Notamacropus eugenii: one gene and its partners. The protein of the gene in region 1 purifies or fractionates together with the protein of each later gene. This does not show direct contact. Links are inferred from orthologs where the notes say so. Each region holds a gene or a part of one and is shown in the gene's direction. Other genes may lie near its edges. The genes, in order: MECP2, DDX56, TBL1XR1 and KPNA3.

Region 1 (7,070 bases):
TTTTTAAAGAAATAATGAGCAGGTTGATTTTAGAAAACATGGAAAGACATGCATGAAATAATGAAGGGTAAAATGAACAGAACCAGAGAATGTTGTATACAGTAACAGCAACATTATTTGAAGAACAACTATGAAGGACTAAGTTGTTCTGAGTATTATATATACTCAAATCAACTCTAAAGGGCCTATGAAGGAAAATGCTATCCACCTCCACAGAAAGAACTAATAGAAGCATGAATAGTATGGTTTTACATATACATCTTAGTTAAATGGTGTCCTCTAGTTTGGGGTGGAGAGGGAAGGAGACAATTCAGAACTTAAAATGTAACAAAAAAATTTATATGAAATTAAAAACAAAAATAAGGTAATAAAACATCTGGGGGAAAAAAGAAATAAGTGCAAAGATTGTATGAGTTCAATGACAGTCACTTCCATAAGTCTGACCCCAAATCTCTCTCTCTCTCTGTCTCTCTTTCCACCTTCGTTCTCTCTGTCTCTGTTTCTCTATATCTGTCTCTGTCTCTCTCACCCTACTCTCTCTGTCTCTGTCTCTCTCTGTGTCTCTGACTCCTCCATCTCTCTGTCTCTGTGTGTCTCTCTCTGTCTCTGTCTCCCTCCCTCCAATCTGTTGCCAAAACCTTTTTATTTTACTTACCTAACATCCATCCCCTTTTCTTCTCTGCCACTTCTACCACCCTGGTGCAGACCCTCATCACCTCACACTTGGACAACTGCAATAGCCAGTTGGTGGGTCTGTCTGCCTAAAGTACAGGTCTGACCATGTCACTTCTCAACAAACTCCAGTGTCTCCTGGATCCAACAGAAATTCCTCTCTGGCTTATAAAGCCCTCCTAACCTGTAATCCCTTCCTTTCCAGTCTTCTTTCACCTTTCTCCCAATTGTGAACTCTTAGGTCCAGCGATACAGAAAGCCTTTCTTGATCCTCTTTCATTTTAGTGCCTTCTCTTTTGATTATTTCTTTTTTCATCTTAGATATGGTTTGTTTGCTTGTCTCCCCCATTAAATTGTGAGCTCCTAGAGGGTAGGGCATCTTTTGCCTTAGTCAGGACTGGATAGTCAATAAACATTTACTAATCATTCACTATATGCCAGGCCCAGTGAAAATCCAAGAGGATACAAAGAAAGGCAAAAGACAGCCCCTACCCTCAAAGGGCTTACAACCTAGGGAGGGAAGCCAGCAAATACAAGTATATTCAAAGAAATAAGGGACTATATTGGTGATTTCATTGGTATATGGCAGTTGTTTTTAAGTGTTGTCCAGGAACTTCTAGGAGGTCCTTTTCAGGGGGTCTGCAAGGTCAAAATCTTTTCATCATACTAAAGTGCTTTAATTTCTAACATAAATAACAACAGAAATAACCCACATAAACAAAAGCTCTTTGGGAGCATCTTCAATAATTTTTAAGCGGGTAAAGAGGGCCTGAGACTAAAATGTTTGAGAACCACCTGTATAGGTAACTCCAGGGTGAGGAAACTCCTTCTAGCAATGCAGATTGGAACTTTCTTTGCAAATAAATTACAGAGTTTTCTAGAACACTAAGAGGTCATGTGACACATGGGGGGGGCAGTCACACAGCCATCATGTGTCAGAGCAGGGGCTTGAAGTCAAGCGTCTCTGGCTCTGAGGCTCGCTCTCCATCCTCTACACCATGTTGCCTCTTGTTATATTCAAAATAGATACAAGATACTTTTTAAAAATTATCAAGCACTTATTTTCTCTTCTACCCTCACCTCACTCCACAGTGGGGAAAAAAAACAAAAAGAACAACCAAACTGTTGTAACAATACAGAGTCCCCAAAGTCTTAGTGCAGTATCAACAGCTTAAAATTTTACTAAGACTTTGGAGGACACCATGTATGCATAGACAAGCTAAACAAATTTTCACCCTGGTGACATCTACAAATATCTCTTTGGTTGTTTCTAATATAAGATGCCATTTGGAATTGGAGGGATCAGCAGTGATCTCCTTACTGATTTTCCTAACTCCAAGCTATCCACGATACCATCTAGCTGCCCTGTAATGTTCCCGCTAGTATTATTTTTTAACGTGGGGGGGAAAGCCCAGGGATGGCCTATTTCCTATGGATGTTACCAAATGTAAAATACAGTGTAATTTGGGAAGTGTGGACCTGAAAACTGTAGAGAAAAGGCAACAGGGTAAATGCATATATTTTATGATTTAATTAATTAAACAATTCCCTATTAAAGATAACAGTTACATAGCATTACAGAGTCAGAGGTTAATCTGACTACCTGGTACAGAAATCGTCTGTCTTAAATACACTTTGCCGTGAGAAAGGAACTTTCTTAGTTGAACAAATCATAAATTTAGTAAGACAATTAACAAAGTAGTGTCAGTTATGATCCCAAGCTGTGTAACTTCCTCTCTGTAACATATGTCTCTGTGACATAAGATAAGGAGAAAATCCCACCACTCTGATGGCAGGCCTCCTGCTGACACATGAAAGGGCACCTTTAAGAAAGTTTCAATTGAAATTACAACCCAAGACATCTGTGTTTTTCCTTATCACTAAGATGCCAGGAAAAGGGTCTCCTAAGGAAATTACTGTCAGCCCCATCTGCTTTGCTGACACCAAAAGGCATTCTCTGAGTTTACTTAAGATAACAAAGGTCCAGACTCTTCTTAATTCAAGCTTTGGCCCTTATTAAAGTCCAAAATTTATATTAAATATTATCAGAAGTCAGGAAGACCTGCATTCAAATGTTGCCTGACTAGTTGTGTGACCCTGACAAATCACTTAGCCTAGTTGAGATAATAGTTAAATGCAGTGAGAATCAAATGAGAAAAAATATGTGGTGTTTTGCAAACCTTAAAGCTCTATAGAAATCTAAGCTATTGTTAATTAGGAAATGGAACTTGAGCTGAGCTTTGAAAGGATCGAGGGGTTCCAAGATGGGAAGGTGTGGGAAAAGAGATCGTGATCAGTCGGCCAGTATGGGAATGTCATTGGCAAGCAAGTGTAAATTGGCTGTGGAAACTGCATCCTAGAAAAACATACCATATGATCCATGGTGTAAGGCTGTCGTATCAGCTCACGTTTATGTAGCACTTACTATGTATAGACCAGGCACTTGTGCTAAGGGCTTTACAATTATCTCATACCAAGTTTGGGAGATCGGTGCTATAGTTATCATCCCCACTCTACACATGAGGAAAATGAGACTAAGTGACTTACCCAAGGTCACACAGCTAAGAAGCATCTGACTCCAAACTCAGTGCTCTGTCCGCTAGTTGCCCCACTAACATTGAGGTCGAAAAGAGGAGTCTTTGTGCATGCTATCCTGGTCCTGTGACCAAAGCCCACCTCCTGCATAAATGCAGTTGATGTGGCCTGTTTCTTTTGGCCGCGTTTATATGAACCTGCAGTGGTGCGAAGTGGGGCCGAGGAAGGGGAGGGTACCCTGAAGCCATATCCTTGTTCTAGAGGTTGCCTTCCCTAAAGGTACGGATAGACTTAAATGAATGGGTTTAAAGTGTGTGTCAGACGGCTATACGTGCAAGTACGTGTGTATGTGACTGGTGGACATTAGCCGGTTTATAAAAGGGACAAATGCATAATCCTAATATGCTTCAGCAGAGAAAACAGCAGAGCGGATGCTTAAAAGCGTTAATATTCAAATCTCAACCGCTAGACCATCCCAAATGTCCTGCCACGCCCACTTTCCTGAACCGACAGCTAAGAACGCCCAATTGGCGCAGTCCCATTAAATTACCATTATCCAATCAACAGTCAGAAAGGGCTTCCTCTCTCTTCCACCTGGGCGATAATTGACAGAAACTTCCGCCAATTCATGGAGCTGCTATCAGGACTCCAGCCTCCTTCGCTTATTCCGTAGCCAATCATGCACGAGTTTTCAGAATGACGTCTCCACCATCCAATCACAAAGGAGCATGGGTGGAGCCGCCCAGCCCCAGAAAGAAGGGACGGGATAGTGGTGGGTAAGGGAACTGAGGGAAGCTAGAGGGATAGAGAGGGCGTGGCCTGGCTGAGACGTGGAGCGGCGCGCGCGCTCCCAGGTTGTCGGCGGCGCGCGCGCACCCTCCTCATCAAGAGTCCTGTGGTAAAAGCCGTTCGGAAAATGGCCGCCGCCGCCGCGCTGAGCGGAGGAGGAGGAGGCGAGGAGGACAGACTGTGAGTGGCGCCGCTGTGGCCGCGGGCGGGGGCCCCTCCGCGGAGAGGAGGCAGCGCGGGCGGGGGCCACGGGGTCGGGGAGGCGAGCCGGGCCGGGCTGGTGGATGGCGTCCCTCCTTCCCTCCCCCCTCCCTCGCTCTTGCTCCCCCCTCCTTGGAGCCCGGGGCCCTCCGTCGGTGCCACCCCGCCTCTCGCGGCGGCCGGCCTCCCGGCGCGCGTCCCAGCGCGCGCACGCCCTCCCACCCGCTTGCTTGGCCCTGGTTAGGCGCTCGTGCGCTCCGGCCCGCTGCTGGTGGGCCTCGAGCGCCGTGCCGCGCCGCGCAGTCCTCTGCTCTCGCGCCGTGGCCGCGCGCTCCTGCCTGGCCTATCTGCCCGCCCCCTCCCTGCCCAGCTCGAACTCGTGCACGCCCGCTGTCGCGCGCTCGCTCCTCCATCCATCCTCCCCTTCCCCCCATCACCTCCCCATCCCCTCTTTTCTCTTCCCCCCACCCCCGTTGTCTCTTATCCCCCTATTTCTTCTCCCCATCCCCCTATTTCCTTCCCCCCTCTGTTTTTTCTCCCCACCCCCCCCATTTCTCCCCCATTTCTCTGACTTTCCCCCTCCCCCCCCGCCACTTTGGCCCCTCCCCTCCTGCGCCTGCGTACTAGTCCTACTCCCCGGCGAAAGAGTGCGCCACAGCAGCCCCATCTCCCTCCCTCCCTCCCTCTCCTTCCCCTCCTCTTGCCTCTTCTGCTGCCCTGTTAACTCCCTATTTTTTTTTCGTCCCCAACATCTTTGCCAGTCCCCACAGGACTATCAGTTCTCCTCCTCCCCTCCCCCGTGGCAGGAAGAGGGAGATGGGAATTACTGCCTACCCCATAGGGAGGAGTGTACATTGTGTCCCCTCTGTCCCACACAGCCTTTTCTAATAGAAGCAGTTCGGGAAGTGTCACCAATTCTGATACTTGCAGCCGAGGAGGCTCTTTGGTGAAGAGCCTCACGTTGTGCCTCTCATCATCTTGGGGGATGTCTGAATTTGTGGCTGTTGGAGTATGGTATGCACACCTCACATCCTTCCCCCACCACCCAAAATCTTCCAGTTACATAAAAGTGATGGGCCATACTCTGGAGCCCTGAGTTCGAATTGTTCATTTGGAGCAAAGTCACAGGCAGGACAATGGGTGTCTGGTTTAGTGGTTTCTTCAGTCTGATGTACTCTACCTTTAGTTCTTTCATCTTTATTTTGTTCCTAGTTTAGTTTTGAATGACTCCCCAAACTGAAACTCATTTCAAATTTCCGAAGTGTAAGTAGCAATCAAGACCTTCATATGTGACACTTGGCCCAACTGATTGTAAACTTTCAAGTTCTTAGCAAAACTAGGTGACTTTGGCCTGGTTTTAGGTTTCAGTACAAAGTGTACAGCTTTCCACTGAAGACTTAAGGAGATTGGGAAGAATCTGAAAAGATTTATCTCATCCCAGAGACCATTTATGAAATTAATATATACAGATACTGTAGGAAAAATAATTGCTCTAAAATGCAAATAAAATTCAAACCAGTTTTTTTCTTTCACCTAATATGTCAACTGCTTTTAAGATTAGGTATGTAAGAGTGTAGCTTGTTCACAACAAATATACATCATTACAAAGGAGACATTCTTGACTTTTGTTCCATAGAACGTGTGCAGACAGTTTTTTTTATTTGTATATTTTTACTAGTGGAAATTGGTTATGCTGAACCATACACACCCCTTGTGACTGGTAGCATGCATGGGTGAGACAGCTGGGTTCTGTAAGAACTGAGGGCTATGGCTGTGGAACTAAACTTGCTCTGTCTTAAGCATACTGACCTAGACTTTCTAACAGAGGAACTTTATAAGATTTATGGATTTAGTTAAGCTATGAAAATGAAATATAACCTTGCCCCTATGGCTCATTAAATTAAACATTTATAAGGCAGCTAATGCCCTCAATGAGAACTATAGTACTGGCATAGTGTGAAGCTTTCATTTGGATCCCTACGTTCTGGTAAATTCAACAAATCAAATTCCTAGTCTTTCAAAATATGCTACGACCCAGTTAAAACAAAAAAAAGACAGGGTGGTTTTTTGTTTGTTTTTTACCCCTGATCTTAATTCCTGGTCAAGCAAGCCTAGTAATTCATACTGTGAACCTTTTGAAACTTTCAAAACCAAAAAACCAAGCTAGAAGTAAAAGTGTCACTCTTCTTGTGCTCTCGGTGTTTTGTTTTTTTATCAATCCTGTCGGTTTAAAAGCTGGAAGAAGAGACCTTAGAGATCAGTTAATGTTATGGATGAGAATGCTGAAAAGATCAGACACATAAGGAGGAGATTTGAACTCAATTTCTCCAACTCCAGACTCTTTCTACAATACTAAGCCGACAAGTAGCCTAACCACTGTTTTGTTGTTTTTGGTTAGGATGTGTGGTTTCATTTCTGTGGGAAACGCCTGGTATGGAAACGTGGTCTGTAATTTCTAGTCTTAGAGAGTTGCCGGTGCCACTGACAGGGTAAGTGACTTGCCAAGGGTCACACAGCCTGCATGTGTCAGGAGCAGGACTTGAACCCAGGGCTTCCTGACTTTAGGGCTTGTATTTTATCCACTAGACCATGCTGCTTATAAGTGTAGATAAATACATACAAACATATCAAAGTGGGCATTGTTGTACAAGTTAGAGGTATGTCTAACTTAAGAAATGGAGAAAGTAGATCCATGAGCAGCAACCTCCTTGACAGTCATCTGTTCTTCACACCCCTGGTCCTTTAAATAGAATAAATATAAACCTCATCTAGGGAGGGGTTTCTTTGAAAAATACATTTAACTGAATTAGTGGTGTAAATTAGACATCAGAGTTCTGAGTGTCCTGATAGCTCAGAGAAATGCCACTTCCTGA
Region 2 (7,445 bases), on another chromosome or scaffold:
CTTCTTCTCTCTTTCCCCCACAGAGCTGCTAACTGTTAAATTTTATTTAAGATGCAGTAAATATTTTCTCCATGGGTCCCAGGTTCAGTTCTTTGTATGGATTTTCCAGTGAAATAAAACCTGTTCTGGTAACTTGTGATGTTTGAGATGAAATATTCTTACCAGACCAGAAACCAAGCAGAATAGTAGAGTATAGGTAACCTGCTATGAAATAACCCCAAGGATGACTTGGAGCTGATCTTAAATCTCTTGAAACCCTTCTAGTTTAGAACAAACATATCTAAGGACTTAATTACAATTAGGAAAGCATCCAAGAGGCTGGTTTTGCTTGCAGTCTTTTCAGTCTTAGTCTTTAGGAATCATTCTTAGAACTTACCGAACCTCCTTCATCCTAGAATACTCATTTTTTGTCCTATTTCAGATGTTTCAGGCGTGGTAGATTTATAGGTCATATGACTCATGACTATGGATAGTTGTGTTTTAAAGAAAACAGTAATACTTTTCCTAGACATCAGAGTTCAGTTCAGTGAGCTTTCTTTATCCTGACTTTTTGGAAAGAGGGAAAATTACCATTTAAATGATAGAGACAGAGTTAGACCGGTTTTGAAAGCAGTGAGTTGGGATGCTGTGATAAATCTCAGAAAGGCTGGTGCATCACCACGTCCTGGGTATCCTTTCTTTGCTAATTTTTTTACCACAAGGTGATGGAGGAGGCTGGCATGGTATATACTTAAGAAGAGCCTTGATTTTGTCAGGGGCTTTCACCAATGCAGGCACGTCTAAGTACCATAGTAGATGGTTTTCTGATGTGCTGTGACAAAAAATAGTTACCTTGGTGGCCAAATGTATGGCAGTGATCCTCTCAGAACTTACCTAGGTTGAACATTTCATGTTAGACCATTACTGTACTGCTACTGACCTTTCTAGCTTAATAGGGTCTGTCAGAACCCATGTGGCATGAGCTTTGAGAAGCCAGGGTGACTGCTACACTACCATTGTATTAGCACATAACAGAGAAACCTCTGTCCTGATGTCTTTCCAAGTAGTTTACAGTTTTGTCATAGACTGTCAAAGACTGGAAAACAGACTAACCTACTGAACATTCAGATATTTTCCCAGGGACTTGGCCAGCATAGCTGTCCCAATAGCTGCTCCTCCACCCTGATCTTTTCACTTCTTTAGTCTACCTGTGTTGTTCATACACCTCTAAATCACATTCTTTTCGTGGTCCAGCAGTTGCTCTGTCCTCAGTCTAGTTCAGTTGTCTCTGCTCGGCTTACACTATGTGCCCTTCGCCTCTGGGCTCCCAGGGGGCGCCCTGTTCACTGCGATTATTTTGTCTTCCTAACTCTACATTCTGAGACTAGGGCCTAAACTGTATTCTTCCATCTCACCCAGGTATTTATTTCCATTCATTCAGCTCCCTTATCTCCAAATCCAGCTGCCTGAGGCTGGCCCAGCCCAGTCTGCTTTAACATGCTATCTATTGCTGTCAAAAATCAGTGCCACAACCCATCTCCATCATTCCCACAGATTTATAGTCCTGGGACACCAGTGTAATGACAGATAATGTGAATGGTATTTAGGTTTTACAAAATACTGGACACAATCATCTCAGGAGAACCAGCAAAGAATGTCTTTCATTGGCAGCTGGTAATAGAATGTTGGAGTCAGGAAGACTGGAGTTCAAATTCATCCTTAGGCACTTAATAGCTGTCTGACTCTGCACAAGTCACTTAACCTCTGATTGCCTCAAATTCCTTTACTATAAAATGACAATAAAAGCACCTACACTGTGAAGATCAAATGAGAGGGTATTTGTAAAGTGCTGGGCACAGTGCCTGGCACAGAGTAGGTACTTATTTCCTTCTTTCCTATGGAAGTATCAGAGTACTCACAGACACATATGCTCTCTAAAAATTGCAGATAGGGGAAAGTGCATTGCTTGTCCTTTGAATGGAAAAAAGTGGAGGGTAACATATATTTGAGGAATAAGGTTGAAAATACCTTTCATGAATCTGTGGATATGGGATCATGAACAACATGAACAGTTTTGAAGACAGAAAATAGAAAGTTTAGAAAGTTTTTACATAAAACCAATGTAATTAAAGTGAGAAGGAAAACATAAGAGAAAACTTTTGTAGGAAGTTTCTCTAATGAAGATCTCTCTTCCAAGAAATATGGGGAACTGCTTCCAATTTATAAGAATGAATACCACTCCCCAGTTGATAAATGGTCACAGGATATGAACAAGTAGTTTTCAGGGGAAGAAATCCAAATTATCAATAGCCATGTGAAGAAAATGTTCCAAAACACTAAATAACTAAGTGCAAATTAAAGCAACTCTAACGTTCCATCTTCCATCCAGCAGATAAGGCATAGTAAAAAAAAAGGAAATGACAAATTTGCCAGAGGAGCTATGGAAATACAGGTATGTCATCACATTGCTGGTGGAACTGTAAACTGGTCAATCCATTCTGGAAAGCAATTTGGAATTATGCCGCCAAAGTCATCCAACTACATACCCCACGGCTTACTAGGTCTATACCCCAAAGAGATCAATGAAAGAAAAAAAGGTAAAAAACTTATGGAAGAGAATGTTGAAAACTAAAATTTTAAAAAAGGAAAAGGACCCTCTATAAAAGGTATAATAACTTCTTTTTATGGTGGCAAATGATTAGAAACTAAAGGGGTGCCCATCAATTGGGAAATGGCTAACGAATTGTGTTATATGGCTAATGTAATACTATTGTGCTGTAAGAAAGAAAGTTTTTCTTTTAATTTATTTGTTTTCAGTTTTGTACAATGACTTCCATAAGTTTTAGATTTTCTCCCCTTCCCTCTCTGAGATGGCATGCAATCTTACATGGGTTCTATACATACCTTCTCATTAAACACATTTTCACATTAGTCATTAGGACCAGTTTCAAAGAAACCAGGCAAGACTTTGTATGAAATGGTGCACAGTGAAGTGAGCAGAACCAGAGCAATTTTTACATTAACAATAACACTGTAAAGACAACTCAAAAATTTAAGAACTCTAATAAATGCAATGACTAGTCAGGATTCCATGTTACTCCCTCACCTGACAGAAAGGTGATGTGCTCAGGATGCATTTGGAGACCTATTTCTTGGACATGACCAAAGCAGAAGTTTGTTTTGCTTGAAAATGCATATTTGTTACAAGGGTTTGTTTTTATCAGTGGAGTGGGAAGTGGGTAGGGGAAAAGGTGGAGTTTTGTTAATTGAGAAAAAAATTAAACTTAGAAAGTGGAAGCTGAGGAGTTGCTGCAGTTGGGTGAGGGAGTCCCAGCTTTTAGACTATGGTAAATGGACATTTTTGGGAAGGGTAGATAGAAAAGGAATGATGGAGGGGCCAAGTAAGCAGCTGTGTAGAGGTTTGGAGGTCAGTGTAGTTAGAGTAGTGTGAAGAGCCCAGGCTCTGTAGTCAGCTCTTCAGATCAAATTCTCACTGCCACTTATTACCTCTGAGCCCTTGGGCAAGTCATTTAACCTCTTTGGGCCTCAGTTTCTTATGAAATTCCAGAAAATCAGTAATGTATTGGGAACAGACTCTTAGTGAGAAGTAGCATGGCATTATGGGAAAAACCCTGGATTTGTTATCAGAGAAGACCTGAATTTAAGTGTAGGCAATCTTAGACTTCCTAGCTGCTCATGACTGGAAAATAGGGGGACGGCCTGGATAGCTTCTGAGTTCCCCTTCATCTCTGGATCTGTGATATAATGATAGCTACTGTCATATGCTGCTTTAAGGTTTGCAAAGTGCTTTACCAATAGCTCCTTTTATTCTCACAATTCTGGGAGGTAAATGCTATTCTTATTCCCAGGGTGGCAGAGGGGATAGGGTGCTGGGTCAGGAGTCAGACCCAAGTTCAGATCCAGACTCACACTCACCACCATTGTGTCCCTGGGAAGTCAGCTGACCTCAGTTTGCCTCAGTTTCCTCATCCGTAAAACGAGGATAATAACGACACCTCCTAGGGTGGCTGTGAGGATGAAATGAGATAATACTTGCAAAGCACTTAGCACAGTGCCTGACATACAGTAAGCACTATATAAACGTTGGCCATTATTATTTTACAGAAAAGGAAACTGAGGCAAACAGTTCGGTGCCTTACCCTAGTAACGCACCTTGTTCGCATCTGAGGGTTTGACATCCCTTTGTGAGCTGAGGGCTCTTCCACTTTCCCATGACCAAAAGCCAGCTCAAATCGCCTTTTTCCAGAGCAAACACAAGACCAAGCCATCGCCTCGCTCTCTCGGAACCAAGATCAACCACAGCCAGGAGGCGACAGAATCTGGGCGGGCCCCTAGCGAATTGTGTTCTTCCGGGAGTGAGGCTACTGTCCCCAATCTGATTGGGCAGTGTTCTGGCCCCGCCCCCTAGGCCCTCTGCCTCGTCGCAGTGTCCGGCCACACTTCCTGCCGCGCATGCGTGTAGTTTCTTCGCGGCAGCATGGCGGATTCCGAAGTTTTGGGCTTTGAGCACATGGGACTGGACCCACGGCTCCTGCAGGTAGTGGGGCACAAGAGGGCGGGTGAAGGGCAAGATCTGGGGGCAGTCATCGATCATCTCTTTCCGTGGTTCCTGCAACCCCTCCCCGAAGACGCGGCTCCCCGGACCACCACGTCTGACGCCGCCCGGCCCCGGCGCTGACCCGGCCAGGCCAGACCCAGCCTGGCTGTCTGCACCCTTTTCTCTGTCCTCCTTTCCCCACCGTTCTCCGCTTCTGCCCTCTCCCAGGCCATCGCCGAGCAGGGCTGGGCCCGGCCCACGCTCATCCAAGAGAAGGCCGTTCCGCTGGCGCTGGAGGGGAAGGACCTGTTGGCCCGGGCCCGCACCGGCTCGGGGAAGACCGCTGCGTATGCCATTCCCCTGCTGCAGCATCTGCTTCATAGGAAGGCGGTATGACAGCCTGGGCCCTTGGGGTGAGGGGGGCCGAGGAAGGAAATCTTCAGGGAGGTGTTGTGCCACCCAGGTCTTACTGCAGGTGTGACCCTGGGCAAGTTACTAAGTCCCACTGTGCCTCAGTTTCCTCATTTGTGAAAGGGGGTAGGGTGAGCTACATAGCTTCTTAGAGCCCTTTCAGCTTCAAATCTGTGAGCCTTTGGGTCTCACTTGGTTCCTTAGTTGCAAGCAATACCTTTAATGGTATGCCTATTTCACAGATGTCTAAAAATAAAGGACAGGCTTTTAAGTTTAATCTGGATTTTTAATATTTTCTCAAGTTAGACAGTGGACAAAAACAAATCAAGGCCTGATTTGTAGCTTGTGGATTTCAGAGTTGTTAATTGTCAAGTTGGAAGTTTAACTGTCAGCTCTGCCAGTTTAAGCTGTCTCCATCCCATTCCTGGCCAGGATTTGCCAGGATTTGCCAGGATTCAAAGGTACTTTTTGAGAGGCATGAGGTCATATTCTTCTCTTTTAGATGTGGTCTAGAATTAAACTAAGTCTGGGTAATCATGTGACAGTGAAAGGAAAGAATCTGGTTCTGTATGATCTATGTTGATTTGTGAAGGAAAGATCACGTTACTTTTTAGGTGTCTTTATAAATGTCTTTTAAATATTGAATAGAGTGAAGCCAAGGCTGTGGTAATCCAATCATGCGACAGTGACTGAAGGGAGTTAGGTTCTTTTGCTTTTGAAGAGGAGATCAGGTTGCTTTTGCAGAGGACATATAAGTTTCCATTTTTTGTAAGGAGCGTGGCCTCTGCTGACTGAAGGTAGTACAAGAAAGAGATGAAGTGAACAGTGTGATTTGAGTTGGCTGGTTAAGATCCTTGACATATGCTGTTACAGACAGGACCAGTGGTAGAACAGGCTGTTCGAGGCCTTGTTCTTGTACCCACCAAGGAGTTGGCACGGCAGGCACAGACCATGATCCGTCAACTGACAGCATATTGTTCCCGTGATGTTCGTGTGGTTGATGTGTCAGCTTCAGAGGACTTTGCTTTTCAAAGGTAGGTGAAAGGAATGGAATTAGAAGAAAGTCATCTAGAGATAAAAGATTAAGGATAGTGATGAAGTGCTTGCTTTCCAGTTGTATTTCTTTTGGCTTTGTATATTTTGCATATTTCTATCCTGATACTAATTTTTTACCTTCCTGTAGGCCCTTGCTAATGGAAAAACCAGATGTGGTAGTAGGCACACCGTCTCGAGTGCTAAGTCATCTTCTGCAGGGAAATTTGAATTTGCGTGACTCCTTGGAACTGCTTGTAATGGATGAAGCTGACTTGCTTTTTTCCTTTGGCTTTGAAGAAGAGCTTAAGACCTTACTTTGGTAGGAGTGTGGGATTGTTGAATCTTGGGAGGGAGGGCTTTGGGTGGAGAGTAGGGATGAAATTGCTTTACTGAGTGTCCTGGAGGCTACAGGGTGGATGTGGGGGCAACTGGGAACTCTAGCTGTTTGAATGCCCAGGATGGAACTGATCGTTCTGTGATCTTCTGCAGCCACCTGCCTCGGATATACCAGGCCTTCCTCATGTCAGCTACTTTTAATGAAGATGTACAGGCCCTCAAGGAGCTTGTATTGCATAATCCGGTGAGGTATAACGGGGGGAGGATTTGGAATTGGGGAAGACAATGAGAATTCTCCCAAAGTGCCTCAGCTGCCATCCTGACCATTTTTTTCAAGGGGAAAGCATTCTCATGTAAAGCTCATGGCAGTAGTTCCCATCTTTTTTCAACCTGATGCCTCCTCTCTCATAATAACTGGCAATTAGTACTACTTCAGCTCTACCTTAGCTACATTGTAAATGTAGTTATAAATCATGTTGCACTTTCTTCTAGCCCTGTGCCTATAGGCAAACCAGTTAACCTTTTTGAGGTTCAGTTTCTTCATCTGTGAAATGGGCATAATACCATGAATGGTTTCTGCCTCCTACAGTGGTTTCAAGGCTTAAATACTGCTTCACTTGGTGATCTCATCGACTCCCATGGATTTAATTACCATCGCAGTGTTGATGACTCTCAAATCTACCTATCTTCCAATCTCCGTGCTGACCTCAAATGTCCAACTGCTTTTCAGATGTCTCAAACTGATTTTCCAGTAGACATCTTAACTTTAGTATGTCTAAAATGGAACTCATTTATCTTTTCCCTTAAATCCTTCCCTCTCTTCTATCTTTCTTATTACTATAGAGGGAAACCACCATCCTTTCAGTCCCTCAGACTTGCATTCTATGAGTCTTACTGTATTCCTCACTGTCTTTCTTTACCTTCCCACGCCCACTGCCCAGTCCAATTTTTTGTCAAGTACTGTTGATTTCACCTTTGTAACATCTCTCCAATGTGTTGTGCCTCCTCTCTTTGTTACTGCTCTATTATTGGGCCTCATCACTTCATACTTAGATTTTTGCAATAGTCTTGCTTTTGGGTCTGTCTGCCTCAAGTCTCTGTCGTTTCTCCAATCCAGCCTCCATTC
Region 3 (7,282 bases), on another chromosome or scaffold:
GCTTTGGACTGAGAGAACTTGGCTTCCAATTCTATCTCCAATGCTACCTGAGCTACCCCCCCCCCTCCCCAAGTTCCTTTAGACTCCTTGGGCCTCAGTTTTCTTCCTATAAAAATGGAGTCTATGTGGTTAACCAGATGGCCTCTGAGCTCCCTTCAAATTCTAAATCTCTGATCCTATGACAAAACTATGGAGGAAGTCCTGCTTATTGACTTTGTCTCATGCAAAGGAGAAGGCAGTAAAGTGGGGAGGGAGATACATGGAGGCAACCAGACTCTGCACCTGCTGCCTCAGGTTCCTGCCTCCAAGCCTGGAATGTTCTGCTTCATAGGACCTCTCACAGTGTAGTTTAGATCTTAAATCTACAGGAAGCCTTTCTGCACTGTCTCCTTCTTTCCCCTCCCTCCTCACGTACTTTCTCTTTCTCTGTTTCTGTCTCTCCTCTCCTCTTTCTGTCTCTGTCTCCCCTTAGGATCATAGATTTAGAGCTGAAAGAGGCATTAGAGACCATTTAATTCAATCTCATGCTAGAGAGGTAGAAATTGGAGGAGGTTAGGATTTAACCAAAATCACAAAGGTGGGAGACCCAGCTTCTGAGTTCCTGTCAGGACCCACTGACTCATTTTAGGGTCACTGCTCTCAACTGTGTAATGCTGCTTCCCTCACAGTGTACATCCTTTTCTCCTAGAAAAAAATGTAAGCTCTTAGAGGACGGGGATGGGTTCATTTCTATCTTTGTATCCCCACTCAGCCTCTAGTGCAATGCCTGGCATGTAGTAACAACAGTAAAAATAATAAGGTATAATAAGCACTTATGTGGCACTTTATGGCTTGCAAAGTGCTTTACAAATACTATCTCATTTGATCCAGCACCCCTGGGAGGTACTTGCTATTATCCTGATTTTACAGACGAGTAAAATGAGTCAGAGGTTAAGTGACTTGCTCAGGGTCACATAGCTGGTAAACAGCTGAAGCCGGTTTTGAACTCATGTCTTCCAGACTCCACTATAGGTGGTCAATAAATACTTGTTATGTTGTGATCAATAAACACTTGCCAGATTGAATTGAATCCTGATCTGCTTTCAAATCTCTGATTTAAAAGAACAGCTCCTATTACAGAAAATAGTACACTCCAAGAAAAGAGGACTCAGAGAAATTATTTTTGCATGTGAGATGGCCTGAAGGCCCAACATGTATGAATCTGTTTCACTGGTTTTTTGAGGTCTTGGGATCACACGAGAGAATAGCAGAGCTGAATAGACTTTTGAGATCATCTTCTCCAACCCCCTCATCTGGAAGATCAGGGAACTGAGGCCCAGAGAGATGAAATGAGTTGTGATAAAGAACTCCCAATTGAGCTGAAGTGAGCTCCCCCTCACTGGAAGTCTTGAAGCAAAGACTGGATGATTGACCACTTGTCCTGGGGGTAGTGGAGGACTTTTTTTTTTTTTTCCTACTATGGCCTAGGCTAATTGGTACTGACATCTCTCCCGATGCTGAAACTGTGTCTGTCCTAGAGAGTTGATCTGTCCTAGAGAGATGATCCCCCCTCCTCCCATACAAATATTATACAAATTGTTAACTAACTCCTAACCAGCTAGGTATTTTCAGGTCTTTCAGAAGCCAAGACTAGTTCTCTATCCCCACTACACTACCCTCAGGACCTAAGACTACATTTACAGGTAAGATTACAGGTCAGCATCATGGAGGGAATTTCCTAGATTCCATTCCACCTTCAAAAAAAAATACTACCATAAAATTGAGTATATTGGAATTATATTAATTCTATGGTGTGATTTGGAGGTCTTGTGTGTACTTTGTACGGAGGACATTCACTTAAAGATAACATGTCGTATATATTCTCTCTTTTATGTACAAGGATGACTTCTCACACATGCTTAATAAGGAATAGAAAAGCTTGGAGTTGGATTCCCCCCCACCCCCTGCCCAGTGGCTGTGGCCAGTTTCTACTTATGCTCCTTTTCTCAGTTCCTGTGGTGACCAAAGCTGTGCACCTGCACGTTAGCTGGGCATAGACATCGCTGAACTCTAAGGCCATACTAGAGAAACTGAGTGGCCCCTAGGGATAGGCTGAATCCTTTGGCCTTAGCCTCATCATTTAGGCCTCTAACCAAAAAAGCTACCAGACTATGGGCAGATAGATAACTGGAAGATTTCTTCAAGGTATTTAGTTAGTCTCTGAAAACTTATCAATGATTTTAAATGAGTATTTTCTAATGTATTTTAGCTACATTAAACTCATTGTGCATGAGTTGAAGAAAACACTGTTAAGAATATTCATTTTGAAGAAAGTCCAACACACAAAACCCCTTGCTTAACAAGTACGTAGAAAGGAACCACTTTACTTAGAAGAAAGTAATTATTCAAAAGAAAGCAAAATCTGTTACAAATTATATTTTCAAAACTGGATTGAAGGCTTATAATGTGGTCTCTCTATGCCACAAAAGAGATTACCCCCCCTTTTTCTATATGCTTTAGAAAGACTGCCCATCTTATTTTCTTTAAATGGTGACTATTCACCTCTTTCAATTTGATTTAATAAACATTTACTCACAGTTTACCCTGTGCCAGGCACTGTCCTTAAAGTTCAGGGAGCTTAGGTTTTACTGGATAGAAACTTCAACGAAACCCTGCCCCCCTGCTCCTTCCCCTCCCCCCTAGTTTAACCACCCCAGCACATTATCACTTTTCTAAGTAATATTTTATGGCTTGTGCTGATGGGATACACACCTATCAAAAGTAAAAGGTGAGAAAACTTCCCTGGTCTTTGCTGCTGTTGATGCAAATATTTGGTAAACACGTAGCAAATCATCTTATTTTTGCTAAAAAATGAGAGAGGATAGAATAAACCTTTAAAACAAGACCCAGCCTAAGATCAATACGGCCAAATGCCTAACGTACAGTACATTTGGGTAGAAACATCCCAGTTGTAATGCGGGGTCGAGTGTGTGTGCCTACCCTTTTCCTGGTTTTTTCTTCATGATTTTAGGGGTCTAGAGAGAAATTAAAGTCAGCGGCCTATCAGAGATGAAACAGAACCACCCTGTACACACAGACATGTGCGCGTGCTTGCACAGCTCCGCCAGCGAGCGCACACGTACGGGCTCTCCGGGCGCAGAAGCCTGCACGGATCCTCCGCCTCGATGCTTTATGTAACCATGTCTATTTCATGATCACGTGTGCGGATGGTGGAGCGGAGAGCATCCCCCCACCCGCTGGAGCCCTGGGCAGCGGGGCGTCCGGGCCATCGCAGGACCCTTCCCGGGAAAGTGTCCTGGGGGTCCTCCCGGCCCACCCCAGCCCCTCCCTTCGGCTAAGCCCCGGAAATGAAATGCCCTTGGTGCCTGCATCTCTGAACGTGCCCCTGTTTTCTGTGCCTGCCTTTTAGAAAGGAATGGGCATCCCAGCCCCGTCCTCCCCCGGCGGCCTGCAGCAGCTGGGGCAAGCAGGCCAGCGGCCAGGCTCCCGCCGCCTCCCCCCTGCTGGGCCCGGCCCGTTCTCCCCCTCCCCCTCCAAGCTCCATTTCCCCAGTCCCTCCTTTTCCTCTTCCCTCCTCCTCTCCGTCTCCCCTCCCACTCCCCAGTTCCTCCTCCCTCCCCTCCCCGTCTCCACGCCGCTTTCCCCTCCCCGCTCGTTTCTCCTCCCCTCTCCCCTCCCCCTCCCCGGCGTCTCTCTCCCTCCCCCTCCCCCTCCCCGCCCCGGGCGGGCGCTGGCTGCCTGCGCCGCTCTGCGCCGCGCTCGGGTTTGTTTGGCTGTGCGGCAGGAGCCGCCGCCGCCGCCGCCGCCGCCGCCGCGGGCCTCGCGAGCTCATTTGCGCCTGGCTGGTCCGGCCCCCTCCCCCTCCCCCTCCCCCGGCCCGCTCCCCTCCCCCTCCGCGCTCGCTCCCCGCGCCCCGCGCCCCGCGCCCCGCTCCCCGGCGCGGAGACTCCGAGCCGTTGGCCGCCCGCTCCGAGCCGCAGGGCTCCAGCCTCCGTGCTCCGCTCCCGCTCGCGGCCCGGCGGCGGCGCGGCGGCCGCCCCCTCCCCCGGCCCGGCTCGCGCCCCCCGCCCCCGCCCCGGCCGCCCCCGCGCGGAGCAGGGAGGCGGGCGCAGCTGGGAGGGCTCCTCGGCGGCGGCGGCGGCGGCGGAGTCGTCGCGCTGCCCGCCCGGAGCCCAGCCCGGAGCCGAGGCCGCTCCCGCCCGGGCTGCGCGGTCCGACCAGGCGCCTGAGGCCGGCCGGCCGGGGGCACTCGCTGGGCCTCCACTGCGGGCGGGAGGGGCGGCCGAGCCCCGGCCCAGCCCGGCCCAGCCCAGCCCCGGGGAGCGGCGCCAGGTAAGGAAGGGGGAGCGGGGACGAGGCCTGGGCGGGCGGGGGGGTGGTGGACGTGGAGGGGAGGGGGCTGCGCCGACTCCCGGTGGCGGGCGTGGGGGCTGGGCCCAAGGCTAGCACATTTTCCACTTGGCCCTTTGGGGAGCGGGTGTCTGACGGGGCGCTATTATTATCCTCGGTATTGGGATGGAGCCTCCCCTCCCCCTCTCCGCCCCCGCCGCCTCAGCAAGGTGATCCCGCTCCCGGTTCCGTTTGGGGTTTTTTTTAACCCTCCCCCACCCCCCATGCACCCTCCACCCTCCGAGCCTTTTCCCTCCTTTGGGGAAGGCTTTCAGGAAAAGAATTTGCAGCCGATAGAATTAGGAGCCGTCGTTAGGCAGCCTCCTTCGGAGCCTATTTTTAGCGAGGAAGGCGCCTTTCCGGGCACATTTATGATTATTAGTAATTTTCTGCAGCCCACCCGCGGCCAGCCGAAAGAACACCTTGGTTACTTAAAACGGGGGAAAACCGCCCCCCCCCCTCCCGGGGCCGACCCCGGGTCCGGGCACCTTCCCCCGGTTGGGTTAGGATAGTTTTCGGTCGTGTAAATTTCAGAAAACGAGGGATGTAATTGGAAGGATGAAAAATGTGCTTGGTGTCTGAACTCCTGCTGAAGGGGGGAGGGGAGGGAAAGCGTAGACACGCCGTCCTCACTTTCCCACTGGGTGATTGGGGTTTCCTTTCTCTTTCTGGGAGCTGCTTCTTTGTAACTTAGTTACTGTTGCTGAAAATTTTATCTTCAGGAAGTGTTCAGGAGAGGAGTGTGTTGGAAGTTGTTATTAAAAGTGTATTTCAGCAAGGGAGTTTGCTGGTAAGTTTCAGCTAGAACGGTCACCGTTTTTTTTTTTTTTTGACAGTGTAAAGGCCACGTTGTTGGTATAAAGTAGCTGCAGTTCGATGGAAATTACCCTATGGAGGTGTTTTTTCAGCCGAAGCAGACTTTTATTTATGTAGAAATGGACCTGAGGATGTAGTGTGAATGATTTCATGAATGCATTACCATATACTCAACGCTTTTAGGGAAGTTATAATTTTGGAACATTAACCACTTTATATTTTCAGCCAAGATCAACTTAATGCACTGAGCATAGATGTATGTAGTAGGCTTTGGGGTAAAACTTTATGTGGGATTGGTACTCTTTCTCATGTTGAGCTTTCAAATAATGTCGCTCTCTTCAAAAAACATGCTTTTGCAAGTTACAATTGAGTGATCCTAAGTCAGGCTTAAAATGGTTGTAATGTTTTTCAATGTTAATGTTCATTAAAACCTGGCTTGGTGCAGCCCTCTCTTCTCGTTTAAAAAAGGTCTTATTATGGGACATTTTACTATCTAATTTAAATGCTCTGCTTTGGAAATTTTACTTAGAGTCACGTCCAGTTTCCTTGTTTTCCAAATAAGAATTCCTTTTGTGGATTTGCTAGCTATGCTGAATCAAATCGGGTTGTTGAAGGCATGGGTAATTATTTGAGCCTGATTGGTTTAATTTTTTTCCCCCTTTGCTAAGTTGTAATTAAGTAATAACCTCTCTTCCCTTTCCTGGGGATTCCCTCTTGTGTGTGGATAATAAGGGGTCCTCATGATGTTTTCTTCAACATGCCTAAAGCAATTTGGAATTGTGGGGTGGGTTTTTTTTTTTTATGCTTTTAGGCAAATGCTAGTGACTGTGCTGAAATTCCCGTGGTGACTTCTTTTTTTGTTGTTAAGTGAGACACGGTGCCTCTTCGGTGTGTTATTAATCCCAGATCACTTGAGACTGTGTTCTTGCTATCTCAAGTTGTTAGTCTGGAGAGTCAGGACAGCTTTGTTTGTCTCCATGAAAACAGGGTTTTATGTCGGGTTGTTCCATGGGAGCTTAATGGCAGGCCTCCCAGATTATCATTGACAACTCCTAGAAGTATTTAGCATTTGCTTCTTGGGGAGGGAGGGAGTACAGTGAGGGTGGCAGAGGAGGAGGAGTAGAAAGAAAAATTGGCTAACCACTTAAGTGTTTGGATTCTTGATGCTACTTTATGAAAGTTTTTTCCTTTATGTACTTTCAGTCTTGTTTGAAATCTCTTACATTTTTTAAAAAAAGTTTGCTTTGAATATTCCATACAGCTAATCAACCATTACCTGTACTTGTGAGAGATGTGAATTTCAATTTATTTAAAAGATAAGGAAATCATCAACATTATTGCAGTGACGTATTGATTTTTTTACTTAAAGTACATTATTAACTAGATAGGAATTAATGGAAAAAGAGGTGTCAAATTCCCTATTTTAAATGGAAATAAAAATCAGTACCCATAAGAAAATGATTTGTGTGTTAAGAAGAAAGTTTTTCTTAAAAGTAAAGATTCAGATGCGCTCCGTATGTTATTTTTAAAACACCCTAAACTTTTTTGTTGCAGAGTTTAGTCGTTGCTGCCAGACTAACACTGCTTTTTACTTACACTAGTTTTTGTGGGATGGATTGGTTCCTTTTGTGTGTATATTTTGTATTTACTTGAGAGATTACATAAAATTTAACAGCTTTTTTGCACACACCAGAAATCTTTCCTATGTTTTAATATCTAAGTAAGATTGTTGATAATAGTACATATATAACAAAAGAACCAGTTTTCTTTACACTGAATAACTTACTTTCGTGAACTCAGGGCATTTCAAACTAATACCCAGAAAGGAAAGGAGCACAGAATAAGCATACACATTACCCGAAGAGGAGATGTGATTAATGGACCCTTTGAATGACAACCTGTTGAATAAATATATCTGTTCATGTATGGTAGTGAAACATAAATAAAACCTTGTCAGATGAATGGCTGACAAAGGAAACCACCTTTTATAATTGATTACAGTGCTGTTGCATAGAAAGAAATTCTGACTAGCCATGTTTGGGTGAAGTTGGGAGGGAGGGTTTGGTTGATGTTGCTC
Region 4 (7,749 bases), on another chromosome or scaffold:
TTTCTCACGCTGTTCCTTTCATCTGAAAAGTCATCCATTACTTACTATTGATTTCTGTACACATTATGTCAAAATTTGGCTGCCTGGAGAAGTTCATTAGTATTGTACGTCAATTTTATAATGGCATGTTTGCCTGGGTTTTGGATAGCGGATAATGCTCTCATGTCTTCCCAGGTACTAATGGAGTAAAACAGGGCTGTGTGCTTACTCCCATGCTTTTTAGCATTAAGTTTTCAGCCATGTTGTCAAATGGTTTCAATGAGGATGAACACGGCAGCAAGGTCAACTACCATACTGATGGCAAGTTCTTCAATTTGAAAAGGCTACAAGCCAAGACCAAAGTGGAGGGAATGTTGATGCATGATTTTCTGTTTGCAGACAATTGTGCACTCAATGCAACCTCTCAAGCTGAGATGCAACAAAGTATGGATCAACTCTCTGCTGCCTGTGCTAATTTCGGCCTAATAACTAACCCAAGAAAACACAGGTGCTCCATTAGCCACCACCACACTATCCATACGTGGAACCATCAGTTACAACAAAATGGAGAAGTTTTGAATGCTATGGATAAGTTCATTTACCTTGGTAGTATATTTTCCAGGGATGTACACATTGACAATGAGGTTGATGCATGCATTGCCAGAGCTAGCTCAGTGTTTGGGAGGCTCCGAAGAAAAGTTTGGGAGAGCAGAGGTATTAGACTGACTACCAAACTGAAGGTCTACAGAGCCATTGTGCTGACCTCATTGTTGTATGCCTGTGAAACATGGACAGTCTACCACTGCTATGCCAGGAAATTGAATCACTTCCATTTGAACTGTCTTAAGAAGATTCTGAGGATCACCTGCCAGGATAAGGTACCAGAAACAAGTCCTTGCTTGAGCTGAACTGCCAAGTATTCAAACTATGCTTCAGAAAACGCAACTCCAACGGACTGGTCAAGTTGTTTGAATGCAAAATGTGCACTTGCCAAAAAGAGTATTTTATGGAGAACTTTCATGAGGCAGGCAATCACATGGTGGTCAGAAGAAGCAATACAGGGACACTCTCAAGGTCTCTCTCAAGAACTTTGGATTTGACTGTGCAACATGGGAGGCACTGATGCAGGACCGCTCAGCATGGCATGCCCACATCAGAAAGGATGCTCTGCTCTGTGAGCAAAGCAGAATTGAGACAGCACAAAGTAAATGTAGGATGCACAAATTTGGGATATCCACCCCAAATATTCACACAGATTATCTGTGCCCAACCTGTGGTAGAGCATACTGAGCTTGTAGTGGTCTGATCAGCCACAGTTAGACACACTGAAATTTCACTTTATCATGGCTATGTCATTCTGGTCCTCTTTGAAGACAAAGGACAACAACCAACTTCAACTTTTCATTTCACAGTGTTTATGCTGTTTTCTTTGTTACCTTGGTGACATGTAAATCTCCATTCTCAAATTAGTTTACTGTGAGCCATCCAAGTAGTTTGAGCTGTGGTCTAACTTATATAATTCTGATTATGAATATATGAAAAATCTCATAGATTTTGTTTATAGGTAAATGATCCATGGAAAAAGTAGGATGGCCCATCCTCCATGAATCAAAAGACAGAATTGAGTGAACCTGACTCCATCTTGTAACTCAGTCCTAGAGTTAGCTCAGTTTCCTTTCTATTCAATTATGGGTCTAGTCCAATTTCTACCTTGTGAGGAAACTTCATTCAGTTATGGAAATTGTGAGAAAACATTATTGTATTCTTTGGACCTAGCCCTATATGGCTGGAAAGTTGGATTACCCTTACCAGTTGCTTAGAGACCCTTGACTAAGGACCTAGGCTATGCTGACTAGAAACCCAGTCAGATCCAAAGAATGATGTAAGGAGTTTCTCACAACTGCACATCTTAAACAGCCCATATATTTTATCTGAAAACTGTTCCTTTCATTGAATAAGATACTCAGGGGAGGGGAAGTGGGATGCCTCTTTTTATGATTTGAGAGAATTGCACCTGATCATTCATCTCCATCCCAACTCAGAAAGCCCCTAATCTTTCCTATAGTTAGAAATTAGATTACCCAATTTTGTAACCTGTTTTATATACTGTTAATTATTTTTATTGCATAAAAATCTATCTCCCCTGTCTTTGGGGTCAGTGCCAAACTGAGGAGGCCTGGTCCCAATCTGTTATGCAATTGGCATGCATTGCTTAATAATTTAATCCTTCTAATTATGCTTGATACTTAAAAAGTTAATAATAAATAAAATCAGAAGCTCAAACCTTTGTTTCCTCAGTTATTTCATCTCCTACATCATGGTGAGACCATGGCAGTACCTACACACCTAAAGCAATCCCTCATGAAAAATGAATCATCCAATTATAGGACAAAATCAGGATTCTCTAGAGGAGCATCCAAAAGGTCATTGCAGGACTTTTCAACCATGTCCACAGCAGAGGAACAATCATGGAAAGGATCCCCTGAAATTGGAATGTCAGGGAATGAAGTGGCCAGATTAAGAACGGAGAACTGCTTTAAAGTCACACTTTCTTTGTTCAGTAAAGTCACTTCATACCTAGCAAGTCTCTGATCTGAAAAGGTTTGTGTTCAAGGTCTCAGCAAAAGAGCCTCTACTCATGGGATACTGCAAATGGAGCTCCTAATACCAAATCACATGTCTTTTCTACTTCAAAGAAAGTGGCAAGACACAGCCTACTATGGCTGGAGTACCAGCTGTGCAGAATAGTATACCATGGGGCAAGGAGAGGGCCTAAGGGATTAAGGATCTCAGAAGCCACCTCTCTATTCATGAACAAAAAGAGAAAAGGGCTTACTTACTCCAGTCCCAAAACTGGAGCTGAAAACAATGCTCTCTTGAGGTCTGCAAGGGCAGTAAGGTGTTCTGGTCCAATCTGAAAGTCTTTGGTTAGAGAGGCTAAGGGTTTACTAATCTCACCAAAGGATGGAATCTACTGACAACAGTAGTCTTGTTTTTTCCAGAATGAGACGGATCTGCTTCTTAGTCTTTGGGGCAGATAGCTGCTGAAGACTTTGTACCTCTTTAGGAGAAACAGAGCAAGAGCCTGAAGACCAAAGGAAACCATAGACCTGTGGGAGGCACCATTGTACCTTTGATCTGGAGGCTTTGTGGCTTCTGGCATGTAGTTGGAGATGATAGTAGCTGTACTCTTGACAGTTTCCACAGTAAGAGATCATTGATTAGTGAACCAGAGTGGACCTATCATAAAGAGAATTGCATTGATTCCTTAAGGGTTTCTATGAGTGTTTTATGAGTTTTCTCTATCTGTTTATGGGCTTCTGAGAGTTTTTTTTTAACCTTCTGTGTTTTCTGTGTGGGTTGGCCTCTATCCTGACAAGAATATGTTCTTTCTAGGACTTTTAAGGGAATTAGAGACCCTGTTACTAGCACTTGTGGAAACCTAGACATTAATTATATAAAAGCTATATTCAGAGATATCTCAGAGGAAGCCCGGCAGTGGTAATAATGAGCTGAAAGGGAAATTGACTTTTTTTTTTTTTTGAGGGAAGCCCCAAAGATTGAACTGTCAGTTAGGGGAGGTCCCTGAACACCTGGCTACAGGTAGGTCACATTTTCCTTCAAAATCCCATCGACTTCATCTAACTTCTCACAATGTTTAAAATACTTTCAGCCACCCCAACTCCTGTGATAAAACGCTCAGCCATTTCGCCGTTATGATGTGCCTCCATCCTAGAAGTACCAGGTTCTCCAGGTATCTCTTCCAGTCCCTTGATTCTCAATCACTTCTTCCCTCTCTCCATCCCTGCCACCCACTCCCTTTGCGTTCTTGGACCAGCCTTTAGCTCCCTTATCTGTAAAACGATGGGTCCCTTCCAGCTCTGAGGCCATGAACCAGTAAAACCCTCTTTCCTCTCAGTCTAAGGAAACACCCCCCCCCCAAACTCCTTAGGCTGCTCCTTCGGCCAGGACACCCTCTCCCTCGCCCCAGGGGATCCCAACTCAGTTCGATAAACACCTACTAAGCACATGCCAGACACTGTGCTCAGGGTACAAAGAGGCAATGCTGACTGCCTAATTCTCCCCATCTCTCCATTCAGTTTGAAGCCCGGAAGGCTTGTTTGGGAGAAAAGACAAATGTTTGGTTAGAAGGTAGGGAAGAGCCGGGGTCACCGGGGCCAATGGTCCTCCATCTCCCTTCCACTTCCCTCCGTAAGTAGGCACGTACGTGATGGTGGGGAGGCAGGAGGGTTGTGCAGCGGGGTACAGCACACGATCAGGGTCCTAGGTGCCTCATCACTTGGCGCTTACTGGACTGATGCCCGGGATGGCCAGGCGCACTCCCCAGGAAGCCCCTCCCTGAGGCGGCCCCTGGGGTGGAGCCCCGAGGGCGGGCAGCGCGCGCATCCTCCCGGCATACACCACTTTGTCTCCATCGAGGTGGACTATAAGCCTCGCTTAGAGCCGGGCATGCCGGGAACTGTAGTCCCCCGCCTTCCCTCCCTCGTGCCAGAAGGAAAAGCCGTAGGGCCCAGCTCCATTTTATGCAAATAAGCTGCAGCCCCGAGGCGGCGAGGGGAAGTGGGAGGTTTGCTGTGGTGTGTCGCCCTAGGAACCCGCGCACTCCGCAGCCCAAGCCGCCGGCTTTAGCGTCTTCATCCGGGTGTCACGTGTGCCGGAGCCCTTTCCCTGCGCGTGCCCCTCCTAGATTCCATCCTCCCCCTCTCTCCCGCCCCCGCCCCCGCCCCACCCCCACCTCGCCACCGGCTCCACGCCTCCCCTAGCGTACAGAGGCGTCACGGAACGTCCCCCTCCTCCTTTCCCCCTCTCCGGCTTTCCCTCCCTCTCTCACCCTTCCCCCAACCCCAGCCCTCCCCCTCCCGCGCCGGAGACTCGCCGCCGCCGCAGCAGGACGAGTAGCCGCCGCCGGAGCAGCGCAGAGCCATGGCCGAAAACGCCGGCTTGGAGAATCACCGCATCAAGAGCTTCAAGAACAAGGGCCGCGATGTGGAAGTGAGTGTCGCGCCGCCGCCGCTGGCCGAGGGGTCCGGGCCTGGCCGCCCGCGGCGGACGCCCAGGCTGGTTCTCGCCGGTTCGCCGTGCGGAGTTGGCCGCCGCCGCCTCCCTCTCCTCCCCGGGCGGCGGGGCGGGGAGGAGCGCGGGGCGGCGGCGAGGGAAGCGGGGCGGGGGTGGGTGGAGTGGTCGAAGCCGCCGCGGCCCCGCTCCCCTCCCCGCCTAGGGAAGGCACCGGCCGGCGGGGAGACGAGGGAAGAGCCGTGGGTTTTTTCTCCTCCGTCACGCGGGCGCGGCCTGGTGGAGGCGAGCGAGGGATGTGCGGCTGCGAGGCGCCGCCGGAGGCCGACCGGCGAGAGCGAGCGGGGGCTGCCGCCGTCTCCTCGCCTGGCCGCAGCCCCGCACGCCCGCCGCCTCCTCGCCTCGCCGGGCGGGCCCGCACGCCCGCCGGGCACAGGAGGGACCGGCTTCTCGCTGCGTAGCGGGAGCGGCTCCACCTGGGGCTCGGGCTCCTCGCGGCCCCTCGGCCCGGGCTCGGCGTGGGGCAAGGCCGGGTCACTGAGTCGCGCCGGGTGGCGGATGAGGGGAGGAGGGAGGGATGCGCCAGGACCATCTTCTCGGCCCCGCTCACCCTGTGATCGTCCCCGAGCTCCCACTCCCCTCTCGCTTGGCACCGGGATCAGGATGCCGGGCAGACAATAATTGGGCATCTATTGTGTTCTTGCTCCGGGAGGAAAGAAAGGGGGGGAGTGTCCTTTCCATTCCTTCCTCCTGGCTTCCTTTACATCCCTTGGAGTATACGATGCATGCGTGATACGATCGATCATTTGTGGAAAGTATTTTTATTGGAATATTGTCGAGGCATCTCCATCCTTCGTCTCTGGCTCCCGCCGTGCCGGTGTCGGGTGATGATTTCTGCGGCCAGATTGTAAACATTATGGTCACTCCGTGTGCTGCCATTGTTTCATTAAGGTGACACGAGCAGGTACTACTTTGTAACTCATCTCATGCTGAGCAGCGCTAGGGGTCTCTATGCAGCTGTTTAAAGCATGTCAGTGGAAGGCACAAACTTCATCAGTACCCACACATATACGGTGTTTGAGCCCCGTCCCGTCCTCATCCGCTTTGGCAGGATATGATTTGGATTTGTAGGTTTGAAATAATATGCTAAAGATAATGTGCATTTTACAAATGAAAATTAATCCAAATTACTCTACGGTGAGGGGAAAAAATCCTTATTGCTTGTTTTATAATGAGTAAACATTGTAGTTCTCAAAAGCACAGTTACACTGACAAAATCTTGAGGCATTTCTGAATATATAATTTTGAAGATAACTGATGACTGTGGAGATCTCATTTTATGAAAGAGAAAACCGAGACTTCTCTGCATGAGTATGTTCTGGCCTTGATTGCATTTCCCTCCACAGACACCTGTCCTGATTCTAAGACTCGTAAAAAAATGAATTTCAGAAAGCTGGAAATTGCTTTCTCCTGGTCACCTCAGTGATTGAGTCTAGTGTCTTAGGTCCAGGGAAGTATCATTGGCAACCAAGTCCTTCCACCTGCTGCAGCCTTATCCTGTGTTAGAAAATGTAAAAAATCGAAATTAACCATGTTCCCCCAGAAGGTATGGTAAATTTATCTTTCCCCCTGGGTCCTTAGGATGCTTGGATAGTTTTGTCTTTATGATTCCTTCCCTCCCCGTTTGTTTTAGTATTCCTGTGACATTCAGTACTTTTATACTATATGCGTATTGCATAATAGATATACATTAAATGTTTGTTGCTCCTGACATCAGTTTCTGTCTTTTAAATATGAGCAATTATATGCTTCCATGGGTGTCTTAAAGGATGAGTAGTGGTAGACATTCTGACCTAAAACAATATTTTAGGAAGAACAGTAATTATCCTTCATTTTACAAATTGGCAAGCTTGGGCATCGAAAAGCCATCCACTGCCAAACCTCTTGCCTTTTGACATGTTACAATGCCCTCTTCCTCTCCCCCACTAGCTGGAACAGTACCTTCCAGGCCAGATCTCCAGAGACCATTCTCTTCTCAGTCAGTCCTACTATTGCTTATGGATTTTGAGAATTGACTGCCCTATGACTTCACAGACCAAAACTCCTTTCCTTGGCTACAACTCTCATATATGTGTTACATTTCTGCATTAGGATAAAAATTTCTTGAGGGCAAGAACCATCTGGCTTTTTTATTTGTATTCCCAAGATCCTATCATAATACATCCTATCATAATACTTGACACTCCAGTATCTAGGTAATTTTTTTCACTCATTTATTTATTTTAGTCAAAGGTTGTAAGATAACCCCTTCTCCACCCCCAGACTCCAAATCACATTAGTCTATGACAAAACTAGGGCTAGAATCTAGGGTTTTTGATTACTTACTAGTGGTCTGTCCTTTAAACCACATCAAATTATATAGTTATCAGTCATATATGATGTACATGGAAAAAAGTAATCTTATGCACAAGGTGCTGGGTACTATGCAAATTGATCTTAACTGCTATAGCTTCTTTTTAGGAGTTTATAATACAGAACAGAGAATAGTTAGGTAGATGTATACAAAGAAAAATCAAACATAATGAAAATTCTGTAAGCAAGAAGATAGAAAGGACCATCAGAAATAAAATACAGTTTCCCATAAGTATACAGTTGTGCTAGGGAATTGAGTACAAGGTGAGCTTTAGAAGAAAAACATTTCATACCTATCCAGTCAGGAATGACTTCATAGAAGAA

What was found.
Region 2: the proteins of MECP2 (region 1) and DDX56 purify together in Homo sapiens (affinity purification with mass spectrometry; 3 studies listed by BioGRID and IntAct, with this or other methods). This does not show direct contact. The link is inferred for Notamacropus eugenii from reciprocal best matches to the Homo sapiens genes MECP2 and DDX56.
Region 3: the proteins of MECP2 (region 1) and TBL1XR1 purify together in Homo sapiens (co-immunoprecipitation; 3 studies listed by BioGRID and IntAct, with this or other methods). This does not show direct contact. The link is inferred for Notamacropus eugenii from reciprocal best matches to the Homo sapiens genes MECP2 and TBL1XR1.
Region 4: the proteins of MECP2 (region 1) and KPNA3 purify together in Homo sapiens (affinity purification with mass spectrometry; 3 studies listed by BioGRID and IntAct, counting the BioPlex papers as one, with this or other methods). This does not show direct contact. The link is inferred for Notamacropus eugenii from reciprocal best matches to the Homo sapiens genes MECP2 and KPNA3.

Annotation. Positions count from the first base shown.
Region 1 is NC_092879.1:23,083,939-23,091,008, reverse strand, and holds the start of MECP2 (methyl-CpG-binding protein 2), read left to right. Parts: upstream 1-4,050; 5' UTR 4,051-4,123; coding exon 4,124-4,176; intron 4,177-7,070. UniProt on the Homo sapiens protein: Chromosomal protein that binds to methylated DNA. It can bind specifically to a single methyl-CpG pair. It is not influenced by sequences flanking the methyl-CpGs.
Region 2 is NC_092872.1:522,870,147-522,877,591, reverse strand, and holds the start of DDX56 (probable ATP-dependent RNA helicase DDX56), read left to right. Parts: upstream 1-4,428; 5' UTR 4,429-4,477; coding exon 4,478-4,537; intron 4,538-4,765; coding exon 4,766-4,927; intron 4,928-5,304; exon of another isoform or gene 5,305-5,409; intron 5,410-5,821; coding exon 5,822-5,982; intron 5,983-6,131; coding exon 6,132-6,302; intron 6,303-6,472; coding exon 6,473-6,563; intron 6,564-7,445. UniProt on the Homo sapiens protein: Nucleolar RNA helicase that plays a role in various biological processes including innate immunity, ribosome biogenesis or nucleolus organization. Plays an essential role in maintaining nucleolar integrity in planarian stem cells.
Region 3 is NC_092877.1:346,937,123-346,944,404, forward strand, and holds the start of TBL1XR1 (F-box-like/WD repeat-containing protein TBL1XR1), read left to right. Parts: upstream 1-4,268; 5' UTR 4,269-4,332; intron 4,333-4,489; exon of another isoform or gene 4,490-5,179; intron 5,180-7,282. UniProt on the Homo sapiens protein: F-box-like protein involved in the recruitment of the ubiquitin/19S proteasome complex to nuclear receptor-regulated transcription units. Plays an essential role in transcription activation mediated by nuclear receptors.
Region 4 is NC_092876.1:106,566,893-106,574,641, forward strand, and holds the start of KPNA3 (importin subunit alpha-4), read left to right. Parts: upstream 1-4,744; 5' UTR 4,745-4,923; coding exon 4,924-4,992; intron 4,993-7,749. UniProt on the Homo sapiens protein: Functions in nuclear protein import as an adapter protein for nuclear receptor KPNB1. Binds specifically and directly to substrates containing either a simple or bipartite NLS motif.